Regions from separate parts of the Mus musculus genome. Here all the other regions are reported to be linked to region 1. The links are microRNA targets in miRTarBase. Many come from high-throughput screens and were not tested one by one. Region 1 holds a microRNA gene; each other region holds the end of a gene's coding sequence.

Evidence for each region. The annotated mature microRNA mmu-miR-324-3p reads CCACUGCCCCAGGUGCUGCU and lies in region 1 at 3,570-3,589, shown strand. An mRNA with a match to its seed (bases 2 to 7 or 8) in the 3' UTR can be bound and repressed. Matches are read on the target gene's strand: a 7mer-m8 pairs with bases 2 to 8, a 7mer-A1 pairs with bases 2 to 7 and ends in A, and an 8mer does both.
Region 2: miRTarBase lists Pacs2 as a target of mmu-miR-324-3p. Seed matches in the 3' UTR shown: 7mer-m8 at 4,239-4,245 and 7mer-m8 at 4,072-4,078.
Region 3: the mRNA of Rnf44 is a reported target of mmu-miR-324-3p. Seed matches in the 3' UTR shown: 7mer-A1 at 2,473-2,479.
Region 4: the mRNA of Clock is a reported target of mmu-miR-324-3p. The part of its 3' UTR that is shown has no 7-base or 8-base seed match.

Annotation. Positions count from the first base shown.
Region 1 is chr11:70,008,526-70,015,642 of GRCm38, forward strand. It overlaps Mir324 (microRNA 324), which reads left to right and starts at 3,518; the gene lies at 3,518-3,606. Dvl2 (dishevelled segment polarity protein 2) reads left to right here. Exons shown (of 15, transcript NM_007888.4): 14 at 252-470; 15 at 619-1,584. The coding sequence ends at 1,067. Acadvl (acyl-Coenzyme A dehydrogenase, very long chain) reads right to left here and starts at 6,903. Exons shown (of 20, transcript NM_017366.3): 1 at 6,738-6,903; 2 at 6,592-6,670; 3 at 6,268-6,333; 4 at 6,106-6,178; 5 at 5,954-6,018; 6 at 5,720-5,854; 7 at 4,909-5,053; 8 at 4,647-4,776; 9 at 4,433-4,558; 10 at 3,923-4,121; 11 at 3,661-3,765; 12 at 3,159-3,245; 13 at 3,011-3,073; 14 at 2,820-2,921; 6 more. The coding sequence starts at 6,799. The coding sequence ends at 1,771.
Region 2 is chr12:113,070,678-113,077,794 of GRCm38, reverse strand. Pacs2 (phosphofurin acidic cluster sorting protein 2) reads right to left here. Exons shown (of 24, transcript NM_001081170.1): 23 at 7,014-7,117; 24 at 3,394-6,257. The coding sequence ends at 6,139. It overlaps Tex22 (testis expressed gene 22), which reads right to left and starts at 3,293. Exons shown (of 3, transcript NM_001361919.1): 1 at 2,936-3,293; 2 at 2,359-2,551. The coding sequence starts at 2,514.
Region 3 is chr13:54,675,430-54,682,546 of GRCm38, reverse strand. It overlaps Rnf44 (ring finger protein 44), which reads left to right. Exons shown (of 11, transcript NM_001146026.1): 8 at 133-220; 9 at 313-434; 10 at 514-613; 11 at 736-3,148. The coding sequence ends at 798. Among named protein-coding and RNA genes, the nearest start is that of Rnf44, 8.8 kb to the left of the region's middle.
Region 4 is chr5:76,211,076-76,218,192 of GRCm38, reverse strand. Clock (circadian locomotor output cycles kaput) reads left to right here. Exons shown (of 23, transcript NM_001289826.1): 23 at 1,315-7,117. The coding sequence ends at 1,494. Among named protein-coding and RNA genes, the nearest start is that of Tmem165, 31 kb to the right of the region's middle.

The DNA of each region.
Region 1 (7,117 bases):
TGCTGAGTAAGCGAGGTACCTGAGCTGCATCCCCAAGGGAAAGAGTGCTGCACGGGGCTCACAAAAGCATTTTGGGGCTATTGGTGAGAGTCCTGGCTGTTTCTCTGCCAGAGCAGCAGAGTTTCCTGTTGTAAGCCATCATGGTCTCTGGCTTTTGTCTCGTGGGGAGCTCTGGGGAAATGGCTCAGGTTTCTCTGTTCTCAGGAATCCTGGCCTCCTAAAGCAGGGACCTCTCTTCCATTTTTTTCCAGACCTAGTTAACCTCTCTCTGAATGACAATGACGGTTCCAGTGGGGCTTCAGACCAGGATACCCTGGCACCTCTGCCTGGAGCTACTCCCTGGCCCCTGCTGCCCACCTTCTCCTACCAGTATCCAGCGCCACACCCCTACAGCCCCCAGCCTCCACCCTACCACGAGCTTTCTTCGTACACCTATGGTGGAGGCAGTGCCAGCAGCCAGCACAGTGAGGGTAAGTGACCCACTCCCACGTACCAGTACAGCCAGAGAAAGTGGGCACAAGTAGAGCGGATTCGGGGAGGAGAGGCAAGAGCAGGGACTGGGATCCTGAGGACTCTGGGCTGAGCTTCATTTTCCTCGTCACCTCTGCCCTCCAACAGGGAGCCGGAGCAGCGGGTCGACAAGAAGCGATGGGGGGGCTGGGCGCACAGGCAGGCCTGAGGAACGGGCCCCTGAGTCCAAGTCCGGCAGTGGCAGTGAGTCAGAACTCTCCAGCCGGGGAGGCAGCCTTCGGCGGGGTGGGGAGCCTGGTGGGACTGGTGATGGCGGCCCTCCTCCATCCAGGGGCTCGACAGGCGCTCCTCCTAATCTCCGAGCTCTTCCCGGGCTCCATCCCTATGGAGCCCCATCTGGCATGGCTCTCCCCTATAACCCCATGATGGTAGTTATGATGCCTCCACCCCCACCCCCTGTCTCCACAGCAGTGCAGCCCCCTGGTGCCCCTCCAGTCAGAGACCTGGGCTCCGTGCCCCCAGAACTGACAGCTAGCCGTCAGAGCTTCCACATGGCCATGGGCAACCCCAGTGAGTTTTTTGTGGATGTTATGTAGGGACCCATCTTGAGGCCACATTGGGTCTGTGCCCTTGGCCTGGCAAGTTTCAGCCTGGTGCCCTTCATAGTGCCTGGGCTCAGCCTGGCGGCTGGTGCCTACCAAAACGTTTTTGCCACTGTGACTCTCACCAGCAGTGCCTGGTCCTTCCCCCTCTTCCTCGGGGGTAGATGGGGACCTTTGGTTATTTTTAGCTTTATTTTTTATAAGCTTTTTGGGGGGTTAAAATAGACTTTCTTATATTTGGGGGAGTATTTTTTTAAATAGACAGTTCCTCTTTTATATGGAGAATCCCTTCTAACCCCAGAATATGACCGCCACCTCCAGGTGCCTAGTCAGCTCTCATGTTGAGGGTGGGTGGTGGTCAGTGGTACCCTGGGAAGAAGAAGGTGTGGGCTGGGTACCCCAGACAGCAGTCCAAGGAGGCTGGTGGTGTGTTGGGGACTGTGTAGCTGCCTTTGTTACTCTATTTATTTTAGTCACTTGTACAAAACACCAAATAAAGCAAATAGAGGCCAACTCCCCAAGCCTCTGGCTCCTTTCTTTGCGAGGCAGGCAGTGGAGAGGAGGGAGCAGTGACATTCACGGCAGACAGTGACTTGGTAGAAAATTTATTGTTAAGGCAATAAGTACTCCATCACCCCCATAAAGGGTTTTGGCATCAGAGAAGGCACATGACCTTGCCAGGGCCTGATTGGGAGTCTCAGATTCCCAGGGGGTTACCGGTGACCAGGCCACCATTCTCCACCATGGCCTTGGAGATGCTTCTGAAGTTCCGGAAGAGCTCCTGATGCTGAGGGCTGGACTGCAGACTGGCCATGTTTTCTCGGATCCGAGTTGCAGCCTGGGGAGAGGGAAGGGGAGGGACGGTCAGGCCGTCCTGTACTGGGGAGCTCCAAGGCCCACCTGTACTGGGGAGCTCCAAGGCTCACCTCAATGCACCAGCTATCACAGAGCATTTTCTCATGCTGTGCCGTCGGGTAGCCCTCACTCAGGGACCTTGAGGCTCTGTGAGGAAACAGAGGTTAAAATGATCCTGAGTGCTGGTGTTGGCCCAGCTCCTCTGTGGCTCTAGCCTGCCAAGCGTCCCTCGCTGCCGCCTTACCTGGACAGAACCACCACCATGGCATAGAGGTCAATGGCGCCGTCCGCCAGTCGCTGCAGCAGGAACTGCTCGTCTGTCAGGTAGATGAGGGTGGGGCTGTTAGTCGGAGGGAGGGAATCAGGGAGGGAAGGGGGTTGCAGAGCTCACTCACTGACAATCCCTTTCTTGTGTTTCACCAGCTTGGCCTCCACCACGGTGGCAAATTGATCCAGAGCCTGCACTGCCTGAAGAGACAAGAGTCACAGACAGAGCTCAGGAGAGGAAGGCAGCGCACAGCCACCGCAGGCTCTGCTTTAAGGCTCACTCACCAGTTCACCACTGCGACTTAACTCTGGGTGGACAATCCCTGACAGACTCAAACCACTGCCGATTCCTGTCCTCCTGAGAGGAGATGGAAGAGTGACTGGTCAGTTGCGGCCTCCCATCTTGTTTGACCCTGACTCTGACCCTGGCCCCGGCCCATGAGGTACCGTCTCAGCTGTTTGCCTGCTTCTCCCATCAGGAGGCCAACGTTTCCAAAAGGATTCTTCAGGGCATTGCCCAGCCCAGTGAGTTCCTTTCCTTTGTCCTGTGGAGAGAAGGGGGACGGCGACAGTGAGGACTCAGTGTCCTCCCCAGCTGCTCTCTCTCATCCTCCTTCCTCTTACCATACAGCCTTGCAGAGCCACAAACAGTCGAAGAATGTCATTTGCCCCTTCAAAGATCCGGAAGATTCGAATATCTCGGAGCACACGCTCCACCCCTGGTTCCTGGCACGCAGGAAGACACAGAAACCTCTGTTGAGATGTGCCTGTCCACTCTGAACAGATGCCCCCCCCTGCCGAGGAATACTCTGTACCTTCATGAAGCCCATGCCCCCCATTATTTGGATGCACTCATCTGCCACTTTCCAGGCCGCCTCCTGAGGACAGAGAACCAGATGAGTTGGATTTTTGAGCTGAGGTCCTAATCTGGACTCCGCCCTCCCATCACACCTGGGTCCTCACCGAGCAAAAGATTTTGCTGATGGCGGCTTCTATCTGGAAGTCTTTGAATCCCTGGTCCATGTTGGCACTCAGCATGTAAGCCATGGACTAAGGGAGCATGGTCGGGACATGGGGAAGACAACAGGGAAGGGCTGCATCAGACAGAATGGCTAATGCTCAGACCTTCAAGACCAGTGCTGATCTACTCCTCCAACCCTTGAATTCACTTTAGCCTCCTGGTCAGGTCAAATATGTCCAATATGTGACCCTCTGGTATATCAGGGGCTTCGAGGCTTCCGACTTTGTAAAGGGGTGGGTTAAAAGTCGTGTTTGGTGCATCTGGGCAGCATTTAGCAGAGCAGCACCACCCTCCAGAAGAGAACTGACTATGCCTCCTCGCATCCCCTAGGGCATTGGTGTAAAGCTGGAGACCCACTGCCCCAGGTGCTGCTGGGGGTTGTAGTCTGACCCAACTGTGAAGAAAGCCATAGGGCTCCAGGGAAGGGGCCCAGGAGGCCCTTACCTCAGTCACATACTGCAGAATAGCCATCCGAGCCAGCTTTTCCTGGATCACCCCAAAGTTGTGAATTTTGTCCCCAAACTGGGTACGATTAGTAGCATGATCAACCTGCAAGAGGGCGCATGTTACCCCACTGTGGTTCTTCAGTTTCCACCTGGACGGGCTGGAGGCCTAACTGTGCCGATGGTCGAGTGTGCATGTGTGTGTGTCGGCGCTCTGAGGCAGTCAGGGACATGTGCTAGCTAGGGACTGGGCTGGGACTCACCGCCTTGGCAATGAGGGATTTCATGGTGCCTGCGAGGGTTGCAGCCATCCCGAATCTTCCGTTGTTGAGGATGTTGACAGCAACCTTGAAGCCATCTCCCACCTCTCCTAGCACATTCTCTGATGGCACCTTCACTCCATCAAAGTACACCTCTGACGTGTTAGATGCTTTGATGCCCATCTTCTTTTCAGGGAGCCCACTGAAAAGGCAGGGCAGGAAAGTTGAGGTATGAACAGGTTGCTGTGGGGGAAAACGGCCTTTTCGGGTCTCATGATCAGGGGAGAACTCCCCAGACTATAAAAAGGATACAGGGCACTGCCTATGTGCCCCAGGGGCTACGGATATCTAGCTATGGCCTGTTAGCCTGTGTTCCCCCAGTGGAAACAAAACTGCTCACCTCCTGTGGGTGCCTCTTGTACAGAGATAGCCCCAGCGTGGCCTGTATTGACTATTTGCTCTTGAGAGCCCAGTGCTGTCCCCATCCTTGATTCTGTTTTGCCCCATACTCACTGGGTAACCCCTCCGAAGCTCCTTTCCACTACAAAAGCTGTGATCTTCTCTTTCACGGCCCCCGTGGCTGCATCTTTAATTGGCGTCTTGGCAAAGACAGTGAAAATGTCAGCCAGGCCCCCATTACTGTGGAAGAGTGAGGTGGTTAGTATAGGGTTTAGAGCAGCAGGGTCAGGCCACTGGGCTGAAGGGTAGAAGAGAAACGGAAGATTGCCTGATCCAGATCTTGCTCCCATTGAGAGTGTAATATTTTCCACAGGGGCTGGGTATGGCTGAGCTTCGGATGGAGGCTACATCGGATCCACTCGAGGGCTCTGTTAGGCAGAAAGCAGCCAAAGCCTGCCCTGTGGGGGAGAGAACGGGCTCACTGGGGATCCTGACCACCAGAGTTGCACCCCCTCATCCCCAGGCAGTTCCTTGTAACACCGTGAGCAGTGTCACACTCCTTACCCCTGGGTCTCTTAAGGTTGCCTTACCAGATGCCACTCTGGGAAGGTATTTTTCTCTCTGGGCCTTTGTGCCATAGAGCAAGATGCCTTTGAAACCGATGCTCTGATGAGCTCCCAGGGTAACGCTAACACCAAGGTCATGCATGCCCACAATCTCTGCCAAGCGAGCATACTGGAGGGAAAGGAGGCATCTGGGATTGTAGCTGGCTGCACTGAACTTGTCCTCAACAAGAATGGGCAGCAGGGCAGACCTGGCCTGGGGCTTGGAGCATCTCTACTCTGAGCATGGGGAGTGGAGTGGGTTTGGACAGGGCACAGGGAGGCTGGCCATGGGGCTCCCAGGTAGGCTGCTTCTCTAGCATGAAACCCTGGAGTCTTTCCTAAGGAGACAGGAGCAGGAACATCAAAGGGCTTAGATAATCCCCCCCCCCCCTTTTGAGGCAGTTTCATTTTGTAGCTCCAGCTAGCCTGAAACTTTGTGGGTTTCCCTGACTGTCCTGAAACTCCCTCTGTAGACCATGCTGGCCTTGAACTCGAGATCCGCCCGCCTCTGCCTCCATCCTCCATGCTGGGATTAAAGATGAGTGCCACTGTGCCCAGCTGCCCTTGGTCTTGATGGGAAGGTTGCCTGCTGTGTTGCCTCACACAGTCCCCAAAGACCTGGGAACCACAGTTAGGTCCACGGTCCTAGTGGGCTGCACACAGATCATGTTTCAGGGGAAAATGTGTGAGAAAAAGGGCAGGCAGGTAGACACTACTCTGGCTACTTGCTTGGCCCTAGTGGTGAGTCTACCAAAACTGGAGCACTGTGGAATGTTAACCAGGGGGATCCTCTCACCTGGGTATTAGAGAGGCCCAAACCACCCAGCTCGCTGGGTACTTGCAGGCCAAATGCCCCCAGTTCCTTGAGTCCCTGCAAAGTGTCGTCCTCCACCTTCTCCAAGGCGTCGTTCTTGGCAGGGTCATTCACTTCCTGAGCAAGGAATAGGAAGAATCTCATATTCAGAGGCTCCTTTAAGCTCCTTAGCATCTTACTTAGCCCAGGAGGGGCTGAGCTCTGGTCATCCCTTACCTCAAAGAACCGGGCCACTGGTCCCACCAGCTCTTTGAGAAATTGTGCCTGTTCTTCACTGAGCACTGTATAATGGGAGAGAAGAGCAGGCTAGTCAGGCAGAGAGGGCTCCCCTGCCCACACTGTCAGTGACTGACTAAGCCTTTACTTACCAGATGGGTATGGGAACACCTGATCAATGGTAAGCTGGCCTTTGAACATCCCCACAGCAAAGGACTTCGATTCCTAGGCAAGGAAGGAAAGGATCTTAGGTGGGTGCCTGGGGTGATTCTACTCCTGGTTTTTAAGTGTCAGTCCAGTTTCCAGTCACTTACTGCCCTGGCTGGTTTTTCTCTGGTGGAAGCATCAGAGGAGAGGGTTTCTGGCTTGTCCAGAACTGCCTGGAGGGAAGGGCAGAGCAGTTAGGCTGGAGATGGGTCTTAAAAGGTGTGCAGGAAGCGCTAGCTCTAGGAAGTGCGTTTGGTGCATGTTCCATTACTTTCTCACTAGGGCACCCTGGCGTGCCCTTTCCCCTACTTTCAGTGACAGAACTGCCACCAGGTGACTGGGTCGAAGAGAGAGACCCCTGTCGGTCGCAGGCTAGTGGGAACTGGCAACTCGCATTTCTACGTCCGTCTCCCTCATCCACTGTCACTTACCTGAGTGGCCTCCCTGGCATAAAGTCGCTGGGCAGAGATAGGCCGGGGTTGTCCCTGAAGCACAGTAGTAGATCGCGAGCTGTAAGGAGTCGGGGTTCAGTTCTGCCCTGGTTCCCAGACCCAGTGTCCCCTTGCTATATACGGACCTTCGGGCCCCCAGCCGCAGCAGCTGTCGCCCCACACTCGGGGTCATCCGAGCCGACTGCATCTCCAAAGCCGCCGCCGAAGTCTTGACCACTGACCTCTTCTCTTCGCGTCTCGCCTGCCCAAAGGTTGTGTGTCTGGGCCCTGACTCATGCTCCACAATGCACTGCGTGGTGGGGGCGTGGTCTTGGGCCTCGATGCATGGTGGGAGCTGAAGTTCCGACGTGTGCCCGGTCCCTGTATTCTACCTGACCTAGGGTGATCCATCTTCAAACGATCCGTTTTCTTTCCCAAACTCTATAGAGCCGCTGGTCTAAACTAAAGTCTGATCCACTAAAAAGGGAAGAGATTAGATAAGAGAAGGAAGAATTAAATGACTAGA
Region 2 (7,117 bases), not on the chromosome of region 1:
TAAAAACATTACACGCGTCCACCCAGTGATGAGATCTGCTTCCACAGGAGAACTTCATGTTTGTAACTAGCAGAACTTTCCGTGTTCCTCGTAAAAGGCAACACATAATTAGAAGGACCTCATAATTTCTGTTGCTAAAGTGAATGGAATCTTTTCATATTTCCTGGTTTAGTGTATTGAGACACCTAAGTTACAACAGTCATATAACCAATCTTTCTCTTTTATAGTTTTAGCTGTTTTGTGGATTTTCTAGGCAGACATTATATTGTTCCAATATCAACTGTTTTTTTTTCCCCCCTATCTGGCTATTTAAGCTTCTTTTCTTGACAATGGCAAAGGCTTACACTATGAATTCCCATCTCCCAGGCTGAAGCTAGCCCAGCTACTCTTATTTTTCCATATGGGCTTAGCTTTAAGACAAGAGAGACATCCGGCTTGCTTTTTTTTTTTTTTTTTTTTTTTTTTTTTTTTTTTTTGAGACAGGGTTTCTCTGTGTAGCTCTGGCTGTCCTGGAACTCACTTTGTAGACCAGGCTGGCCTCGAACTCAGAAATCCACCTGTCTCTGCCTCCTGAGTGCTGGGATTAAAGGCGTGCACCACCATGCCTGGCCCGGCTTATTTTTTTAATTGTCTTTATTTTTGCTTTGTTTTGTTGTTATTGTTTTGAAACAGGGTAACTCTGGCTGGCCTGGAAATCTCTATGTACACCAGGCTGGCCTTGAACTCACAGAATCTTCCTGCCTCTGCTTCCCACATGCTAGGAAGCTGTACACTGCCATGCCTTGCAACATGTAATGGTTTTACGTACATGCTGAGCTGTGAAATGCCTCGGAAAGCACCCACCTAATCTCACATCGCTCTCCAGGAACCCAGCATCTCTCTCTTATCATTCAAGCCTTTTCGGTTCTCTTCAGGAGCTGGTGGTAAAAAGTTCATCTTGAGCCGGTCGTGGTGGCGCACACCTTTAATCCCAGTACTCGGGAGGCAGAAGCAGGCGGATTTCTGAGTTTGAGGCCAGCCTGGTCTACAAAGTGAGTTCCAGGACAGCCAGGGCTACACAGAGAAACCCTGTCTCGAAAACCCCCCCCAAAAAAAAAAGTTCATCTTGAGCAGATTTTGCATATTTCCTAAGTCTCACTGCTGTCATAAAGGGTGAGGACTGTCTTCCCTCGATGCTCCTATCTGCTGTTGTGGCTCCTGAGCCTACCAACTTCTGGACACTGTACTGTGTAAAATTCCAGAAGATTCTTTCGGACTGACGAGGACAATCACAGGCTCTCCACATGAGGCTGGTTTTGCATGTCTGTGCTCCTTGGCAGGCCGGGGAGGGTGAGGAAGGTCCCTAGTGGGGTTCAGCCTAGAGCCATCCCAAGCCTCCTGCCTGCTTCTCTCCAGTGTTCAGAGCATGCTGGCCAGACTATCAGAAAGTACTGTACAGTGGCTAAACTGGCCATCTAAAGACCTTCTGCTAGGACAGTTTTCTCCAACTCTCGCCTCAGGCCAAGGTTACTGCATTCTATGAGGTAGCATGAGTGTTACTGCGGGCTGAAGACAAGTTACGTTGCAAAGAAAGTTTCTCTAAGGCTCAGGCTGGGAAGGGAGGAACAAGGAACTGATGTTAGCTAGGCCAGGATCTCTGTGGGAGGAAACAGGAGACAGACCTGGCTGAGGAAGCACAATCCATACTGAGGGGACACGAAAGGAGAGAAGTGACTCAGGACAAGGTTAGGGAAGGCAGCCTGGACATCCCTCAAGGACAGAGTCACTAGCAGGGCTTGGAAACTGTGGAGGGAGGAGGCACAGGAACTTGAAATGGGAGTCAATTCCAAATGAAGTCAAGGTGTGGCAGACACTGAAGTGACTTTGTCCCCAACCAGGAGTCTGGTGTCCCTTCAACCATAGAGCTCTGATTCTTCACCATTATGTCACCAATATAAAATCCATACATCTGTGCCTATTCATAAGCAAGCCTCTCCCAAGAGATGACACGTTAGCATCTTTACCATCTAGAATGCCCTGCCTTATGAAAGCGGAAGGGGCTACTGGTCAGCCCTGCAGGACAGTTGTCACCTTTGGAGGGACCTCAAAGCAGGGGTCAGGGACACTGCACGAGCTGATGTGGGTATGTGTGGCACACTCCTTCTGACCTTAGGCGACCTCTCTCTGCCTGGTGTCCACCAGAGGAAGTCTACCTCCGAGCCTAGCCTGAGTAGTTGGAGAAGCAAGCCCTAAAAACTAAATGTTTCCTCCAGTCCCATTCAGTCCTTTCCTCTTGTCCCAGAGGCCCATTCTCGGTGTCCCTTTCCAACCAGTCCACCTAAAAGCCTGGGTTCTCGGAAGACTCTCCTAACTGCTTACCCAGTCTTGGGTCTGCAAGTCGTCCTGAGGCTTGCTCTTGGTGTCTGGCTGGCTGGAGGCCACGGCAAGCCCCTGTGGGGGTGACTGTTGTCTTTGCTCTTGAGCAAGCTGCCACTGTAGCGTCTTCCTCTGGGGGCGCTGTTGCCTGCTGTCCATCTCTAAGTACAGCAGGTTGCAGTTCCCTCGACTAGGGCTGTGGGGCAAGGTGCAGGAAGGGAACTGAGCAGGGTTCCTGCTGCCACGGCAGATCCCTAAAGCAGATGATGGCAGGCCCTGCTGGGGCCGCCTTCTACCTAGTGACTACTCTTGCCGAGTAGCGGGGTCCCTTGTGACTTTCTCTCCCAGGTCTTGTGGCCATTATCCTCCGCACCAGCATCCCCCCAGGGACAGCAGTAGCCTAGAAATAGATGCTAGCCTAGCCTTCTCTGCTCTCACCGAACCACCTGGTCTGCTTTTCCTCGCAGGGGGCGCTCCTTCTGCGGTCCTGACAAGCTCTTCAGTCCTAGGATCCCACCCTCAATAGGCCTCCTCCTGTCTTGGACAACCCTACCACACAAGGCCCAGGCTCAGCGCCAACCTGAGCTCTCATTTCCCACCCTCTCCGTGGGTATGAACTGTGGAAGTCAGTTAAGGGCAGCAGTGAAGGTATGTGGGAGTTGGGTCACCCGCTCCCACGCGGATGCAGAGCTCGCCCAGAGGGCTCTGGGAAGGGCTCTGTAGGCTCCGGGACAGATGAGGGGGGCTTAATGAGCTCCGGTTGACAATGGATCAGCCGGTGAGCCCAGGCTCAGAAGGGTCTGCACAGGGAGTGGAGGGTCGTGTGGCCTGTGAACGCTCATGTGGGTCCAGGTAAACAGAGCTGGCTGGTGAGGCTGACTTAGGACCTTCAGCACCAGCCTGAGAAAGCTGGATCCAAGGACAGAGCTCTAGGGAAGAGGGACGGAGCTTCCGTCCTACAGACCCCGCCCTCCGCGGCCGCTTCCGCCCCCTCCACGCGTGCGCCCCAGCGTTCAAGCCGCATGGCCCCAACACATTCAGAGAAATCACAGCAGTGGGCGGCCTGAGCGCCGTCAGTTTATTAGTGTCGCTTCAGCACCTTGAAATCGTCCACATGGTCGCATGGGACAGATCAGTATCTGCTCCCAAAAAAAGCTATTTACATGAATCCTGCTTTTTATTAAAAAAACAAAAACAAAACTAGCAACATACACACTCTAGAAATCAGTCACAGCGCGCTGGGCAGTCTGCAGAAGCGAACGGAGTCATCCTCACGCAAGGCTGTCAGCTTCTGCTGGCCCCCTTCCAGGACAGAGCAGTCTCTGAAGGGCACAGGGATTTAGGGAGCAAGTACCCTGGCCCTGGGGAGAAGTGCCAGGACGTTTTTATGCGGAATTCATTTGAGATGGAGGCTAGAGGAAGAAGTGAGGCTTGCAGGATAAGGCTAGGGCAAGCCATTGCTTCAGGGCTGAGCCTCCCGCCTCCCCACGCCTCCCCACCCCCACCTCCCAGCACTGGTACCTTTACAGTGATACTGAGCTGCGTACTCAGAGGGTGGTGGCAGGAACCAACTTGAAGGTAGAGGCAGGGCCCCCAACTGACAGCAATGAGCAATGGCAACTGGTGTTGCTTGACAGGGACCTCTAAGACTGGCAGGCTCTGAGGGTGATGCCTCAGAGCTTCGGATGCAAACACACTCTGCGGTTCGTACCACTGCACTGCCTGTCAGGGGGGCTTTGGTGTCATCCTTCAAAGGGACAAAGTGCTTCTCCATGACTTCTCATTACAGCTCCATGAGGTAGGCAAGGAAAATGGACCATCTCTCTAACCACTGGGGGAGTGAGGCACAGGGAGGAAGGACTGCTGTCTAGGTCTGCACCTAGCACTGCCATGGTGGGGGTTGGGGGGAAGGTGTATGGTGCTCAGGTGCTAGGCTTTCCTGACTCCACCCTGGGCCAGCTGTGGGACAAAGACGCTGCCTACACCTTCCTCTTGTGTGTGTAAAGTCAGACCCCTGGAACCAGTCAAGGAAGGAGCACGTATGTACAGGGGAAGGTTCTGGAAAAGGGCTGCCCTCAGGCAAGAGCTTGAACCCCTGTGGCCTCAAGGCTAGAAATCTAGGTCAAATGTTTCATATGAAGGTTGACTTTTGGGAAAAAACACAAGGGGCAGGTAAACTAGGCTCTTAGGCTCCAAGGATTACAGTGGCCTGACTCAGCACAAGATCTTTTCAGAGAATACCTCACCAGGAGTTCCACTAAGAAGCCCTGGACCCAGGGACCTGGGGACCTATTATCCAGGACAAATAGACCCTGTTCAGCAAGTCAATAAGGGAGGTAAGTAAATAAAAACCTGCCATCTTTCACCCCAGGAAGGGCGAGCAGTCCTCAAACTCAGCCTGTCCTGCTCTCGACAATTTTCTCAACATACTCTTAGGAAGGTCTCAAGGTCGAGACACCATTCTTCAGACACCATGCTTCCCAATGGACCACCAGAGCCCCCGAGAGAGCCCTAGCTTCCAGGGTGACAGGAACTCTTCTAATTAGATACCTCGGGGAGAAAGGATTCTTAAGAAAATTAGGACTGAGGCAGTGACCCCTTCATGAGTCTGGTGGAGCGTGTACAGCCAGGATGACCTGAGCTGTCGGACACCAGCACAACCCTTTCAAGTTGGATGGGAAAATGGTGGAGCTGCCACCAAGAACCAGATCCAGGTGGCTATGAGGAGCTTGGCTTGGCTAGACCTAGTCCTGTAAGGGAGGTGGCCTTTGTAGTCAGACCAGCATGCTGGAGCCTTCACGGGCTACAAACAAATCTCTCTCTCTCTCTCTCTCACACACACACACACACACACACACACACACACACACACACACACACACACACACACACACAACCTCTAGATGCCTGTTTCCAGTTTACAACCTCAATTCTCAGCTCAGATCCCACATGGCACACACACACAACCTCTAGATGCCTGTTTCCAGTTTACAACCTCAATTCTCAGCTCAGATCCCACATGGCCAATCCTGGATGATCCTGTCCAGCAAGCAGAATAGAGGGAAGGGCTCAGACAGACCCCAGAAGTGTCTCCCATTTCCAGGACGGACACTGGAACATATGAAAGGACCACCCGATCTGAGCAGCAGAAGCCTAAAGGTGCCCGTGGAATGGGAGCCACAGGGGTAGGGTAGGGATGCAGCTCCTGCTGGCTCTGCCCCAGCAAGGGGACTTCACAAGAGCAACATCTGCTTGGCAGCTACGTTGTCAAATGTATTTGAGAGCATTAGAAAGATCTGCTACTATAAAACCTCCGCCATGAGGCTGGAGTTTATTGGGAACCACGCATGGGGTGCCAGGGACTGACATCTCATGCTAGGAGAGCAAACATGCCCTTGACCTTTAGCTTCTGGCCACTAAACTCCAAAGCTCCCCGTGCTCCCTACTCCCTGAGGAAGCAGAATCCTGACGTCAGCAAAGGGCAGGATACAAAGGCAAGAACATTTCTTGCTTGTGGTCTGGGCTTTCATGGGACCAGAGTTCACCTCCTTTCTTACCAGCCTTTCCACTTGCCCACATATTCTGGTTAGTAAGCCGAGCAAAGTTACTCAGTGGCCCACAGGGAGCTAGCTGGGCTATGAGCACATTCATACTTAAGACTGTTTCTTTGTGTTTTTAAGAGTCTGTCTCTGTAGTAACCACGTGTTAACAGAAATACAGCTGTCCCTCCATCAATGGCTGGCACAGAGTCACTGTCCAGTGTCAGCCCTTCCGTGGGTGGGGCTAGAAGGTGGCTTTGGAGTGTCCAAAGATGCAGATGGGGAAGTGCTTCACGTGAGAAGACCACTGGGCAGCCAGCTGGAAGAACTTGACATCGCTGCATTCCACGCCGTCGATGAGGACTGTGGGAGAGGGCCACCTGACCATCTGCCTGCCTGGCAAGGCAACCACCTGAGATGGTGGGGTGCTGCCAGGAAGCAGGGTAATCCTGAAGCTGGAGGAAGCCCTGCTTAACAAGCCCTTCCCACCACCTGCCCTTCCAGGACTTAGTGCAATGGTGGGTCCACCTCCCAAGGGGTCTGGCAAGGGCAATCTGAGCCACACCTCAGCCAGGCATGGCCCATTTAAGTCACATCCACCTCACAAGGTCCAACTTACTTAAAATAGCTGTATTTCCAGAGGTAGCCTTAGGAAGACCACCCAAGGAACTGGGACTCACAGGGACCCAAAAGCCCTGTGCTCTGAATGCACTGCTTACAGAATAGCCTCTGTAAGATACTTAAGATACATGAATCAATCTTTAAGTGGAAGGAGGGCTGGGATAGAGCAATATGGTAGAGCATTTGCCTAGCACACAGGAGACCCTTGGTTCAATCTCTAGCAATCCTTCCCAAATCTCTACCAATAAAAACAGAAAGGGTTGAACCATTCCTTGAACTTGAAAGGCCGTTAGCTGCATGGAGGCACCTTATCCAAATGTGCTCCAAGAGTGGCTCTGTAAATAAGCCATCAGAGCAAAACAACTGCTTGCCCTGAGGGTTTGAAAGGCCAGCCATCAGTTCCGCTCTGCATTCAGTTTACAAACAGAAGCAAACAGGACCTAGGTCATGGACTGAGTCCCCAGCACCCTGTGGAGCAGCCCCCTGGCCCATGCTCACCCCGAAGCATGTTCTGTTGGTGCTTAGCTGTGCAGATCAGCCGGCTGATGCCCTCGATGCACTGGCTTTTGGATTCCACTTCCTTGTCCTTTGTTTTCTTGGGC
Region 3 (7,117 bases), not on the chromosome of region 1:
GGCCTTGTTCTCTGGGGGCCTCCACAGTTCTGGTAGCCCCAGATCCTGAGTATGAACTGTGTACATGGAGGAGTGAGGGTCACTTTGTTCTGCCTCCACTGACCTGCATTCTGGGCCTCCCTCCCTGTCTAGTTCAATGCTGCCAATGTCACCGACCACCGTGGGCCCCACCATCAGCTTGGACCTGGACGTGGATGACGTAGAGATGGAGAACTATGAGGTCTGTGGAGCCCGGGCTGGGCTGGGCCAGGAAGGGGTGAGGTGGTAAACCTATAACCTCAGGCGCTGCTGACCTCCCTTGCCTGGTTGTAGGCTCTCCTGAACCTGGCTGAGCGGCTGGGAGACGCCAAGCCCCGGGGCCTCACCAAAGCAGACATCGAACAACTGCCGTCGTATCGCTTTAACCCTGACAGCCATCAGTCTGAGCAGACTCTGTGAGTGTCACCCTGGAAGCCCAGGGAGGGCCCTCCGCTGCCTCAGCTGTCACTGTGCTGACACTGTGCCCCTCCTCAGGTGTGTGGTCTGCTTCAGTGACTTCGAGGTGCGGCAACTGCTCCGAGTCCTCCCCTGCAACCACGAGTTCCATGCCAAGTGTGTTGACAAGTGGTTGAAGGTAAGGTGGCCTGAGCCGGCTCCTGGGTGTCTCTAGGGGCAGGAGTGGAGATTTTCTCCAAGTCAGATAGGTGGGGGAGGGGAGGTCACGCAATGGGGTCTGATGTGTGGGTGTTCTCCCAGGCCAACCGGACCTGTCCCATTTGCCGGGCGGATGCCTCCGAGGTGCCCAGGGAGGCCGAGTGAGGCTCCACAGCCACCCACGAGATCCCTGCCCAAAGCTCCGGAATTGGGTGGGGGGGAGCAGGGCGTGGCCCGGGGAGGACTGTGAGGGCGGGGCCAGGCCTGTCAGCGTTCCCACCTGCCACTCCAGAGCTGGTGCCAGGGTCAGTCTGGAGAAGCCCCTGCAATAAGCCCCTGCATTGCCAAGCTCCAAAGACTCCTTCCCCAGTCTGCCTGCCTGCCTGCCTGCCCGCCACGGAGCTGCCTGAGTTTCCCCAACTCAGTCTGCTTCTTATCTGCCCCTGGGTCCTTCTTCCTGCTGGCTCTGGGAGGCAGGAGTCCATTCCCCAAGTGTGGTGGCTGGTGTGATTTCCCCAGACCCCAGACGGACAAAGGAATAGCCACCCTGGGTCAACTGGTCTCCTGTACTGAAATGACGTGTCCTTCCCTGCCCTAGTGGGGTTGCCAGGTGTGTGGGCAGGGAGTAGCCAGAGACCATTTCCTGAGTTCTCCTGTTTGGTTCCAGACAGACATAGGCAGTCAGCTCTGCCTCCACTGCTGTGTGGTGTGGGTCTGACTCCCCAGGACCCTTACCCCAGGCACAGCGTTCCAGCCCACCCCCAGGCTGGAGAGTATCCCAGCCAGGCTCCATGAGCAAATGGGCCAGGGCTCCAAGCTGGATACATTGTGTTCTGCAGTAGCCTCGAGCGATCTGGGCATGTTCTTGTGTTCCTGGTGGCTGCCCCTCCACCAGTGACAGTGTCAGACCCATGCTCGATCCTCCCCCTCTGTCTTTTTGCATGAATGTGAGGAACAGCAGTTTTTGTTTATTCATTTGGCCCAAAATTGCGTGTAGGGGGTGTGGATATTTAAGAGGTGTTTAGTTTTTTATTATCTTGTTTTCTCTTTGGTTTAATAGGAGTGGGGGCATAGGGACCAACCGGGACCAAATGCCCAGGGGGCAGAGTAGGGTCCGGTTCTGCCACACCAGGCCTCCACATGAGTGTGTGCGGCTGGAACTTTATCTGGGTGGCTGGAAGTCACAGGGCGGAGTTTGGGGGGGTCTGTGCTCAGCTGATAACTGCCATGCACTGTACTGCACATGTCCCTAGAGCCTACCGGGACCGTCTGCTTTTCAGGGCATCTCCTCTCCAGCCAGGGCCTGTGTCCCACCTGCCTGGGTGAGTCTCCTAGCAATCCTGTGAGGACAGGGGTCAGGGAGGACATGAACCTCCACCTCAGGGGGCCCCTCCCGGCCTGATTCCTGCCCTCCAAGGTCTGGAGGAGGCTGTGTTCCTTACCCTCCTTTCAGGTCCCACTCCTTTCCTTTCCTACCGCCAACTGGGGTTGCTGCGCTGCCTGGAGTGAACGAACCGCGTGTGGGGCCGGCACATCCTAGCAGGCAGCCATTGGCGCCTGCTGCCTCAGGGATGCTCCAACCACCCTCGTTCTCACCGCAGCCCTGCCCCCACCCCAGCCTGCCAGGCCCCATTGGCCTGGTCCCACCCCACAAGAACCCAAAGTCTTACTGTATATAACTCCAGGTGATGTTTCTATATTTATAGCAGTGTTGAAAATCCACGTGTTTTACACAGAGAACCACCTTCTCCAACCCCCATCCCTTCCTCACCCCAAAAAAGGTTTTCAAACCCTTGTGGTTCCTGGGGCAGCAGAATTGGCTCATGGACTGTGTCGGCTGCAGTGATGATTCCAGCAAGCAGCTACTAGGGGGAAATACACCTTTTTTGTTTGTTTGTTTTTAATCATTTAAAAAAGATTTATGAAACAATTACTTAGGATGTTTGTGATTTGCCGACCTTGCTGTAGATGCCATGTTACCAATGATTTCCTGTGGTGGGGGCTTGGCATTGTTTACTCTTTATTTACCAACTTCTGGCCTAGGCATGACAGTGGGCACCTTCCCCCAGCACTGCTGGGCCCAGCGCCTGTGTTCTGTGTTAGAAAAGTTTTATATATATATATCTAACTAAACACACACACACATATATATATATATATAAACACATGTGATTTGGGGGCCCTGTTCCTTGCACATCTTACAGTTACCTCATTTTTCCCATGTATGTATTTGAGAAAATGCTAATATATAGAGACAAATGGTTCTTAAAGCTTAAATGTGTGGTTTTTTCCATCCCATTGGACTCACATTGGTTTGTAGCATTTAACATAACTAGTATGTTGTATTATATATGTGTATACTGATTGAAATTTTTAACAGATTTGTACTTTTTTTAAAATGAAAGTTGCTAGTTCTGCTTGACCAAGTAGTGCAATCATTATTTTTTTTAATATTGTTGCTGATTTCAGAGGGATATTCACTAATAAATGTATGATGTATACGAGTGCTGCCCAAGCTGCCTCTGGCTGCTCTCTGTGTTCTTTCCATGAGAAGTGGGGAATGGGGACGTGGAGACTGGTCATGCTCAGTGGGGTGGCAAGCCATGAACTGACCAGAAACACCTGCCTTGAGTGGAAATGGGTTGTGTTGGCAAGTTACAAGATTCCATCGAACAAATGTGAGGAGGACACCTGGTCATCCGAACTTCTAGGTTGTTCTTGGCATTTTGAGGTGATCTCATGTAGCCCAGGCCTCAGATTCAAATCTGTAGTTGAGGATGAACCGTCTTCTGTCTCCAAAGTGCTGGAGTTAGAGGCACGTCCCCTCACACAGGCCATAACACTGAACTTCTGAGGGAGTGGGCTGTGTGCAGCTCAATGGTGGGGTGTGCTACCCTAGCTCATGCCAAGCACTGGGCCTCATCCCCAACATAATGGGTCAAGGTGCAGTCCAACTGCGTTTCTCCAAAAGGGGAAACCTCGAGAACTCCATTAGACATTGGACAACTCTGGGTTCAGCAGCATGATTGGCCAGGCCACAACCTGAGGTAGACCTGTGCACTCCATGCCTCTGTTCCCTGCCCCAGTGGGGCTTCATTTATCTCCATGGTGGCATTGGGTACAGGGCTTCAGGAGTGAGCATGCCAAACAGCACGATTCTGCAGAGCAGTACCTTGTGTGATGCCACTAACCAGAGCTCTGGTCAAGTGCTTTTCATGGAGTCTGAATCATTGAGAGAGAGAGTGTGTGTGTGTGTATGTGTGTATGTGTAGGCAGAATCAGCTGAGGTGTTTTAGAAGTGAGGAAGTCCACTAGGCAGTATCATGGGATAAGGGCTCTGATAGTCTAACTGGGCCTTGCTCGGACCTATGCTGTAAATCTCTAGAGTTGATCATGAAGGCTGTGTGTCATGTATTTGCTTTGGCTGCAGCTGCACACCCTTGCAGTGTACCGGGACATGGTAGATTATGTGTTGCAGCAGCTGAGTTCCCAGACTCTAGAGCAATAAAAATCCAAAATGAGGAAATGGGTTTTTAGAAGCTAGCAAGTAGGCCAGGCAGTGGTGTCGAATGCCTGTAATCCCAGCACTTGGGAGGCAGAGGCACTCGGATTTCTGAGTTCAAGGCCAAACTGGTCTACAGAGTGAGTTCCAGGACAGCCAGGGCTACACAGAAAAACCCTGTCTCGAAAAAACAAACACAAAAGAAAAGCTAGCAATAAATATATGAAACAGCATAGCATGTGTCCTAAACCAGCCTGCAACTTAATAGCAGAGGTTGATCTTTCCACCTTCCCCTCCCAAGTGCTTGAGTTACAGGCACTGCAGCATGCTCTGTGCAGTGCTTCCAGCACGCTGAGCACTCAGCTGACTGACTTGCTAACATTAACCTAGACACGTGAGAATATAATTTAAAAGCAATATTTCTAGGGGTTGGAGAGATGGCTCAGCAGTTAAAGAGCACTAGACTGCTCTTTCAAAGGTCTTGAGTTGATTTCCCAGCAACCACGTGGAGGGCTTACAACCATCTGTAATAGAATCCGATGCCCTCTTCTGTCATGCAGGCATATATGCAAATAGAGCTATATACAGAGTATAAACAAACAATGCTATTTCTAGCCAGTCAGTAAAAATTTGGGCCTGTAAAGATGGCTCAGCCGGTGAAAGTGTCACCCTCTTCCAGAGGATTAGAATTGGATTCCCAAGCTCCAAATCAGGTGACTCCATAACTGCCAGTAAGTGGAGCTTCAGAGGATCCCGTGCCTCTGGCCCCTACGGACGGGCACCACACATGGTATACACTCACAGGTGCACACACGTAAATTTGTCATCGTAAAGAAAAATCTAAGATATGCTGGAAGTTGTAAAACCTAGGGTACAGGCAAGTGTAGCTGTACACAAAAACTCACATCTGGATGAATGGAAGGTGTGTTGGAGTCAACTTACCCAAATTTCAGGAAAGTTTTTAGCCTTTTCTGAAATAGGTTGGAAAATATCAGAACCATGTCTCAGCAAGTGACACTTGATGACCTGTGACTCAGTGGAAGGAGAGAACTTTCTGCGAGTTGTCATCTGAGCTCCACATTGTATCATGGTGCACCACGCACACACACACACACACACACACACACACACACACACACACGCACGCACGCATACCACGTGTGAACACACACGCACGGATGTAAAAAGACAACATGGCGAAAATATTACAGAATAAAAAGAATGCATACATTGGGACTAGAGAGAGAGCTCAGTCTTTAAGAGTACAGGCTGCTCTTACAGAAGGCCCAGGTTTGATTCCCAGCAACCACATCATTCAATGGAACTCCAGTCTGGAGCAGGGGAGGGGTTGGGTCGGGGATATAAAGGCTATACTGCTCTCTTCATTAGGCCTCCACAGGTACATGGTGCACAGACGTATGCACAGTCAGAAACACAAATGTTTGTCTTTAGTCTCACTGTGTAGTGTGGCTGTCCTGGAACTCAGTCTGTAGACCAGGCTGGCCTTGAATTCAGAGATCCACTTTGTCTCTGCCTCTAGAATGCTGGGATTAAAAGTGTGAGCCTCCTCCTCGCTCAGCTTGAAAAGATGGTTTTTGTTTTTTCTTTTTTCTTTTGGTTTTTCGAGACAGGGTTTCTCTGTATAGCCCTGGCTGTCCTGGAACTCACTCTGTAGACCAGGCTGGCCTCTGCCTCCCGAGTGCTGGGATCAAAGGTGTGTGCCACCACGCCCAGCGCTGAAAAAATGTTTTTAAAAGCCCAGAAATCAGTCTACACAATTATAATTAACTTTACTCACAATCGCATTCCACACTTTATGCTGCAGTTAACACAGAGTGGATCACAGACTTAAAGATTAACATAAAACTTCAGGAAGATGGGTAGACATTATCTTAGCCCTTCTCTAGGGCTAAGCAAAGTAGTTTTGCCTATTACATCAAACTCCATTCACAGTATAAGCTAGTAAATTGATATCAAACTGAGAGCCTGCAAACCACACAGCGGACAAAGGGTTCCTCTCTCAGAGTCATAAAAACAAAAGTTCAATGTCCAGTTTACCAAAGGCCTTTTTGCTGCTTGTGAAAATATGTTCAAGACCAGCAGCCCTTCGGGAATCCAAACGAAGCACATTTACAAAGCCAATGGAAATGTAAGGCTCCTGTCGCAGGCCAGTGGTGGCCGCAGCGGGGAAACTCATTTGGTCTCAGCCCCCAAGACTATATACACTTCAGCTGTAGACAGGAATGCCTTTGCAGCCCTCAGGCCCACGGCTCACAGACCTGCTACTCTGGAAACCTGAAAGACCTGTAACATCTTGACAGTCCAGCTCACTTCCCCATGCTACCCAGAGTTCAGATCAGAGCTGTTACTAGCTCGTTTGGACCAGTTTTTCCTGTTTCTCCTGTTTAGGTCAGTAACCCCACATTACTAAAGCATCCCGCTTGTCTGCCGGCAAAACAAGAATCTGGGTGGGAAAAAGGAGACTGGTTTCCACAGGCTACTGCAGCCAGTCGCAAGGGTTACTACTTGATTCTATCTAACACTACCAGGGTGAGAGCATTGGAGACACTGCAAACATGGGGTTAGGAATAGGAAACAAGGGGCTTGGTTCAGTGATTAAGAGCATTTGTTCTTGCAAAGGATATGGGTTCGATCTTCAGCACCTACGTTGAGGCTTACCATTTCCTGAGATAACAGGCATGCATATGGTGAGCAGACATACATGCAGGCAAAGCACTCATACATACATACATACATACATACATACATACATAATAAAATAAATTTGTTAGAAAAGAATAGAACATCTTTAAAAATAATAAGGGGGCTAGGGGGATGGCTCAGTGGTTAAGATAGAAAGTAAATAAATAAATTATACTAAGGGGTAGGCAGTGAGGGCAGCAGGAAGTCTTACATGGTGGCAGAGTGAGTGTATCTGCATGTGACAGGGAGGAATCACACAAATACACGCATGTGGGTAAC
Region 4 (7,117 bases), not on the chromosome of region 1:
ACACTATGCCCCTCCTTAGAAGTGGGAACAAAACACCCTTGGAAGGAGTTACAGAGACAAAGTTTGGAGCTGAGATAAAAGGATGGACCATGTAGACACTAGCATATCCGGGGATCCATCCCATAATCAGCTTCCAAATGCTGACACCATTGCATACACTAGCAAGATTATGATGAAAGGACCCTGATATAGCTGTCTCTTGTCAGAGTATGCCTGGGCCTAGCAAACATAGAAGTGGATGCTCACGGTCGGCTATTGGATGGATCACATGGCCCCCAATGAAGGAGCTAGAGAAAGTACCAAAGAAGCTAAAGGGATCTGCAACCCTATAGGTGGAACAACATTATGAACTAACCAGTACCCCGGAGCTCTTGACTCTAGCTGCATATGCATCAAAAGATGGCCTAGTCGGCCATCACTGGAAAGAGAGGCCCATTGGACACGCAAACTTTATATGCCCCAGTACAGGGGAACGCCAGGGCCATAAAAGGGGAGTGGGTGGGTAGGGGAGAGGGGGTGGGTGGCTATGGGGGACTTTTGGTATAGCATTGCAAATGTAAATGAGCGAAATACCTAATAAAAAATGGGGAAAAAAAAAAAAGGAAAAAAAAAAAAAAAAAGAAGAAAGAAGAAATTAGCTATCCTGATGGTGAAGATCAAACTTGCCCTAAGGAACCCAGCACCCCTAATTAGCACAAAGTGGTCTAATAACATTGCCTTCTATTCCCTGACTTTATCCAGGGATATTCCTTTCTTTTCTATCCTTTTCTCTCTAGTGTTAGGGCATTGAAAGGGTGGAAAAAGTGGAGAAGGGTGGAAGAAAGAAGAACCCACAAAGTAGCAAATGCCCTCTACAAGGGTCTCATGAGACCGTGGTTTATTCACTAGGTTAGGTTGGTTGGCTGGTGAGCCTCGGAAATCCTGTCTCTATCTCTCACACTGGGAGTACAATTGATTCTTTACCAACAGGCAGACTTGTGTGCACTGTCAGTCTGACCAGGCAGTGTTCGTGTCCTATCCAGACACAGCTGTGCTCTAGTTTACTGCTTAGAATTTGGGCCTGTAGGAAATAAAAATATGTGGCTTGTCTCAAGACAGATTATACTTTGTACCATGAAATTCCCATCAAGAATTCCTCAAAAAAGTCAAATCTTACGTGTTCAGAAAGAAGGCAAGGTTTTTGTTTTCCAAAAATAGTTTTTAGATTAGCAAACAGAATGAGAGTTTAAAGCCCTGTGTCTGTGGGCTGTGGGCAGTGTGAACTGACGAGTGTGAAGGCAGGAAGCCAGACTGCATCATCCTTTTTGTTTTTAGACATCTAGGTTGCTCCACGGGAATCCTTCGACACAGCTCATCCTCTCTGCTGCCTTTCCACTACAACAGAGCACTTTCCCTCCTTCGCACCACCAGCAACACCAGCCTCAGCAGCAACAGCAGCTTCCTCGGCACAGGACTGACAGCCTGACTGACCCTTCCAAGGTCCAGCCACAGTAGCACACACACTTCCTCTCTGACATGCGAGAGGAAGGGGATGGCCAGAAAGAATCGCTCAGTTGGCATGCGGTCAGAAGTTGAACAGTTTCACGAGGGTGGTCTTGAGTGTTCAGTCCCTTGATGAGACGGTAGGGAAGTGCTGCCCAGTGCTTCAGATGTCCATTAAATACCAGCCAGTGGGAAATGGTCATAGGGACACAGCCAATTCTGACAGTTTCTTTGCCCAGGTATTTTTTGATAGAAAGAGTATATTGCCAAATGCTAACAAGCTCAGCTATCAACCAGATCTTTACTGAATCCGAAGAGCACTAACAGTGTTGGTAGCTTTAGTGGGTCTGTGCCTGCATCAAATATTACAGAGGGCACACCACTGCCAGGGGTTTGCTTAGAATGCCATGAAGATAGTCCAGTAGTTAATAGTCCCCACCCCAAACTCCTCTCCCTGTTCAGACAATGATGGAACCGTGATGACTTTGAGAATGTTGTGCAGGTTTGAATTCACTGTGTACAGATGCTGTAGTGTCTCTGTGTCTGGATGGAGGAGAGAAAGCCACTTTGATACAGAAAGCATTATCTGTCCCTCACAGGTATGAGTGCATTTCATTAGGTTTGACACCATGTACAAACTGATAACAACCTCTCTTTTTTCATTTTGTTTACAACACAGTAGTGTTCTCGTTACTTTTCCAGGGCACAAGTCTTTTTGTCCGTGCTTTGGCTGTGATGTCACAGTTTGTTCAGTGAGGTAACAATGTGCTGCTGGGAATGGATTTTTTTTAAGGTTAAATTATTGCTACATTTCCACTTACTCAGAAATATCCCTTATTTCATTATTTTTCAATTATGTTTGAGAGAATTGCACTGCTTTATTATTTTAGATGGTTGGTTGAGAGTTTAATCACATATTTTGATATATTTCATAGTTGGAATATTTATGTAAATGGTTTTCAACAAGCCTGAAAGTAATTTCAAGAATGTTTCAGTTGTAAGAGTAAAGTTTGCACACAAAACATTTTAGGCACTTTTTTAACATTCTCAGAGGTGGGAATTTTAACTTTTAGGATTTGTTGGAATCTTTTTATTATCTTTAAAAATTTCAATGCTTCTTTTAGTCAGAAATGATTCAGGGTTATTTGAGGGGAAAAAACCCATAGTGCCTTGATTTTAATTCAGGTGATAACTCACCATCTTGAATTCATTGTCTGGTTTCAGTAGCAGTTTTGAAACCTTAGTACATTTTTAGCAGCAGTGTCATTCTCAAGTCCCCATGAGGACTGCTGCGTCTCTTGGGCTGCCTGACAGCGTCACAGCTGGGAATGGGATCCCAAAATCGTTTCCTGTTTGCATCTTCCTCTAAAGCTAAGTAACTCTTTTAGGAATTACCAGTAAATACTTGCTCAGAGACAAGGGACAAGTTGTCTTTAATTTTCATTGCAGCACTAGAATAATGTAACTCACATGCTTTTTAAACATTAAGATTTCATTTGGCAATATCATTCTCTACAGGTAATAAACTCCAACAAAGCTACATACATTTTAAAAGGCATTTTTTTAGATTTTATGGTACTAATAATGAGTTTTTCAATTAAAGAACAAAAGATCAGTAGGATATAGAATATCAAGTATTACTGAGAAAAGGGAGGATAAGTGTGGCACATTAGAATTGACCTTAAAAGGAAAGTATGTGATGGTGAGGTGCTAAACTGGTTTCAGCAGTGCAGATAACCTAAGGCAGAGTTGCTAGATCAGGGCTTGGGGAACTCGGAGTCAGCTATCTGTCTCTAGCTTTGCTCTCATCATCAGTAAGTGTGTCTTTGTTTTCCTGTTTACCTGACTGCAATTAAGTTAGCAAGTTAGTGATAAAAAGAAAACAACCAAAGAAAATTGGTACCTACTCTTCTGCATAAGAAGTGTGTCTAGATACCAGTCAGTAACTCACATATCACAGAGTTCTTCTAGCTGACATTCATACGAATACCAGAAATAGTTGTGAGAATACACATTTATGCAAGTTTGTGCACACGTGACGAAATCAATGTAAGTCGAGCACCCACATTGCTTTTCTCCCTTCCACATTGCCTTCTTCTCTTTGGCCATTCCATGTCCTCGGAGTCGGAGCTGTGCCTCGTTTATCTTTTTGCATCACATAGCGATAAGAATTTAGCTACAGGAGATACAACATGCTAGTTATGTAATGCCTGCTGTTCTTCACAGTTCATCTCCCTGCTTAAAAGTAGCAGTTGATAAGAAACTCTAGCTGCTAAGGCTGCTGTCCACACGGAGATGCATGCTGGGCAACAGTTGTCAGCACTAGCTGCCTCTTAGCTCCTTAATTCTTGGTTCCTTTGGATGGCAAACTGTCTTTGTCTGCTCCCCACACGACTCCAGTATTCTGAAGAAAGTTCATCTTTTGCCTGTTCATTTCTGTAGCCAAAGCTGACTGAAACCCCAAATCTAAATCATGAAAAGATACCAAAAAGAAACACTTCTCAGCTTCTTAGAAACCTTAACTTCTCTTGCTGTATTTCATGGATTTGATTTTCTTTGAAATTTTTGATTCTGGGCAGCGCCTTTTAATTAAGAAATTGTTAGGATGAAGGTCAAACAGGTTCTCATTGCCCTGCAGGTACCTTGCTCTGGACTGCTTCTGTATGGGGTGACTTGGGGTTGCTGAACACACAGGATTAGAACAGTAAACACAAAGCTGCCCTTGAGGCTGGCGTTAAACCAGAGCCTCAATATTGAAAATATCAAGTCCTCTTTCCTTCCTTAGAGACGAGACTGTGAGAGGAAAGCAACTGTGGTAGGTGGGCTTGCTTGCACATGAGCACCAAGACCATTCCCCAAGCTCTATCCTCAGGGTAGCATTTAGAGTGCTGTGTTCTGCTGTCACATAGACATGGCTTAGGGATGTAGCACTAATAAAAGAATGCCCGTGCTTTTGAATAGTTGTGATAGCAAACTCTAGGCTAACTAGCAAGTGTTTGAATTCTGTGTGCTGTATAGTAGTTGGTCATTGCCTTAAAGCAGTCTCTTGGAAGTTGGGAGCACTGAAGCAGTCCAACCATATATGGGCATCACGTTGAGGGAGATGAGCCTTGTTCAAGCCTTAGAAAGGACCCTTAGTCTACACAGGTAGATTCTTTTCACTTGGATATTACTGTGTTTAAAATGTTTCCACTATGTTGAGGCAGTTTTTTAAAGTGGAACACAGATAGGATTTTTAGTATTTCTTTTTTTGTTTCTTTGGTGATTAAAGGTTTGTTGGTAGACATTTGTGTAAAAGTTGTTCAAGCCTATCATCTTTCCAGTACTTGTGGTCCTGTTCTTAGTACCAGAGTCCACAATGGAAAGTGTAAACACTGGATATTAATATTGCTGAGGGTGCATAGCCAGGTGTGAGCTGACTGGAACTTCTCAGTGGTGAAGAAACAGCACAACGGCACTTGCCATTTTCATAGTGATTGCATAAAGAGACCTTCTAAGTTTGTCTGGATTGAGTGAACACTCTTCTAAGAGGAGCTTCTCAAGTAAATGCAAAGGAAAAGAGTTGACTATTTTTATAGCATATTTAATATATTTGTATATAACTATGAGTGTAGTAGGAACCCTCCACATGCCTCCCACTTTTCTAATTCCCTCCCCTTCTGCCGTAGCCCTAGTCCAGCCTCATCCGCATGGGTAATGTGCCTACTGTCAGCCTACCTACCAAAAGATAGTGCTGCTGCTTTCTGAGACAGGTGAGATCAGACTCTCATGCCTGGGGATCCTTATGGGAGGAATAGCACACACTTAGAACAACATACCACAGTTTAAGAGCATCATTTTGAAAGGTAATAAGCACTTTATTGCAATTATTCATTTAGATAAAGTTTGTATCTTAGGCATTAACCGTTTTTAAAGGATCCCTAATCATCACTTAGGTGAAATGATAAACGACACATTTCTGAGAAATGTTCAGGTCCAGTGAACCGTAGCAGGTTTATGGGAATGATTTCAAGGTAGCCAAATAAACTCTGACTTTTGTTTTGAATGTGGTGGAGTCAGGAGATTGTAGATGTGTAGTTTGATTTAAACACTATTGTAAACCTATCTTGCCTATTGTGTGGACACCAAAAGAGACCAATGAGCCTGTTTATTTTCAGAGGTCTAGGAATATGCATCTGTCTGAGTAGATATACAGAACTAATCTATAAACGGTTGGTAGTAATATTTTAGGATACAGTAACTTCAAGAATTATTGAGTGTTTTAAATGTGCCCTGAAATGTTGGCATGTCATTTCAGCGTTCCCATTTGAGTTGCTCTTGTAATATTTTTGCACAAAAAGGACTGAGAAAAGACTGCTTTGGTTGAAGAAAACTATAATTTGGTCTTATTTTAATGTCTCCTGTGGAAACACTGGAGGTAAATTTGTTGGCATAGTTACTAATTCAGGATATTTAAAACAGTGTTGAACAGCTCATCAGAAATTAAGCAAACTTATATATTTAAAAATTAAAAATCTTTTTTTCCATGTGACTGTTTTGCATATTTTTTCCGTTGTCATACCACACTACATTCCTTGGTTTTTTTTCTGAAATAATAATTTGTGAAAGATTTGAGTATTCAACAATATTTTTTAAGACGCCTGGGTTTTCCCAGGAAAATGTCCTAGTGAAGTAAGTTATAGCTATATATAGTTTGTGGAGACTATTGAGATTCCATCAACACCACCAGCAAACACTGAGGTGCTGAACCAAGAGACAATCATAATAGTAAGTATTTACAGGACTTAGGAGAGGCTGCAAGGAACACTTGTTCCCAAAGCAGTTCTCTGGGTCTCCTAAATAAAATGGCTGTGTATTTAGATTTCTACATTGTGTAGTTGGTGATTTATTTAATTTATTGCATCATTTTCTTGTCGTTGGAGAACTTGCTCTTGTTTGGGGCAGTCACTACCCTACCCTCTAGTGACTCCCCACTGACAGATCATTGGGATCCATTGTGCATCACGATGGTGATGGAGGGTGAACCTGAATGTCCCTGCACTTCCCTCCTGCTCTGAATTCATTTAAGAAAAGAACATTAAAAGCTAACTCCTTTTAGCTCTGGTCACATAGTGTCACTTGTTGCCTTCTCTGATTCATGGGCACTTTTTATACATTCGTTTCCCCAACACAGTCAAAAAGGCCAGTAAGACAGAACCAAGGGCACATGTTGCCTCTGTTGCCCATTTGGGGAAATGCTAGCAAAGTAATATCTATTAATGACTGTCGTCACTACATCCATATATAGAAGTCCTTCTATATAGTTGAACAGTGTATGCACACTGAAAACTTTGAAAAGTTGGCTGTCTTTTAGATCCTCCATAGTCCAGTAAAGTGGTGCTTGAACATAGGGAGTCTAGTTGTGTGAGGATCCTTCCTGCTCACGTGACCAAAGTGGGCTATGGTCCTCCTTTAGCACGGTTGCGGCTCTGGAGTCCCACAGTCAGGGTCTAACACACATAGGGATCCCCTGGAGAGCAGTTATTAAAATACTGTCAGACACAAACTGGGTTTATTACTTAAGAGGCATCTAACTCTGAGGGGCATAAATTCAAAATATACCATTTTTAGATGTTTGCTTTTAAATCAGTGAAAA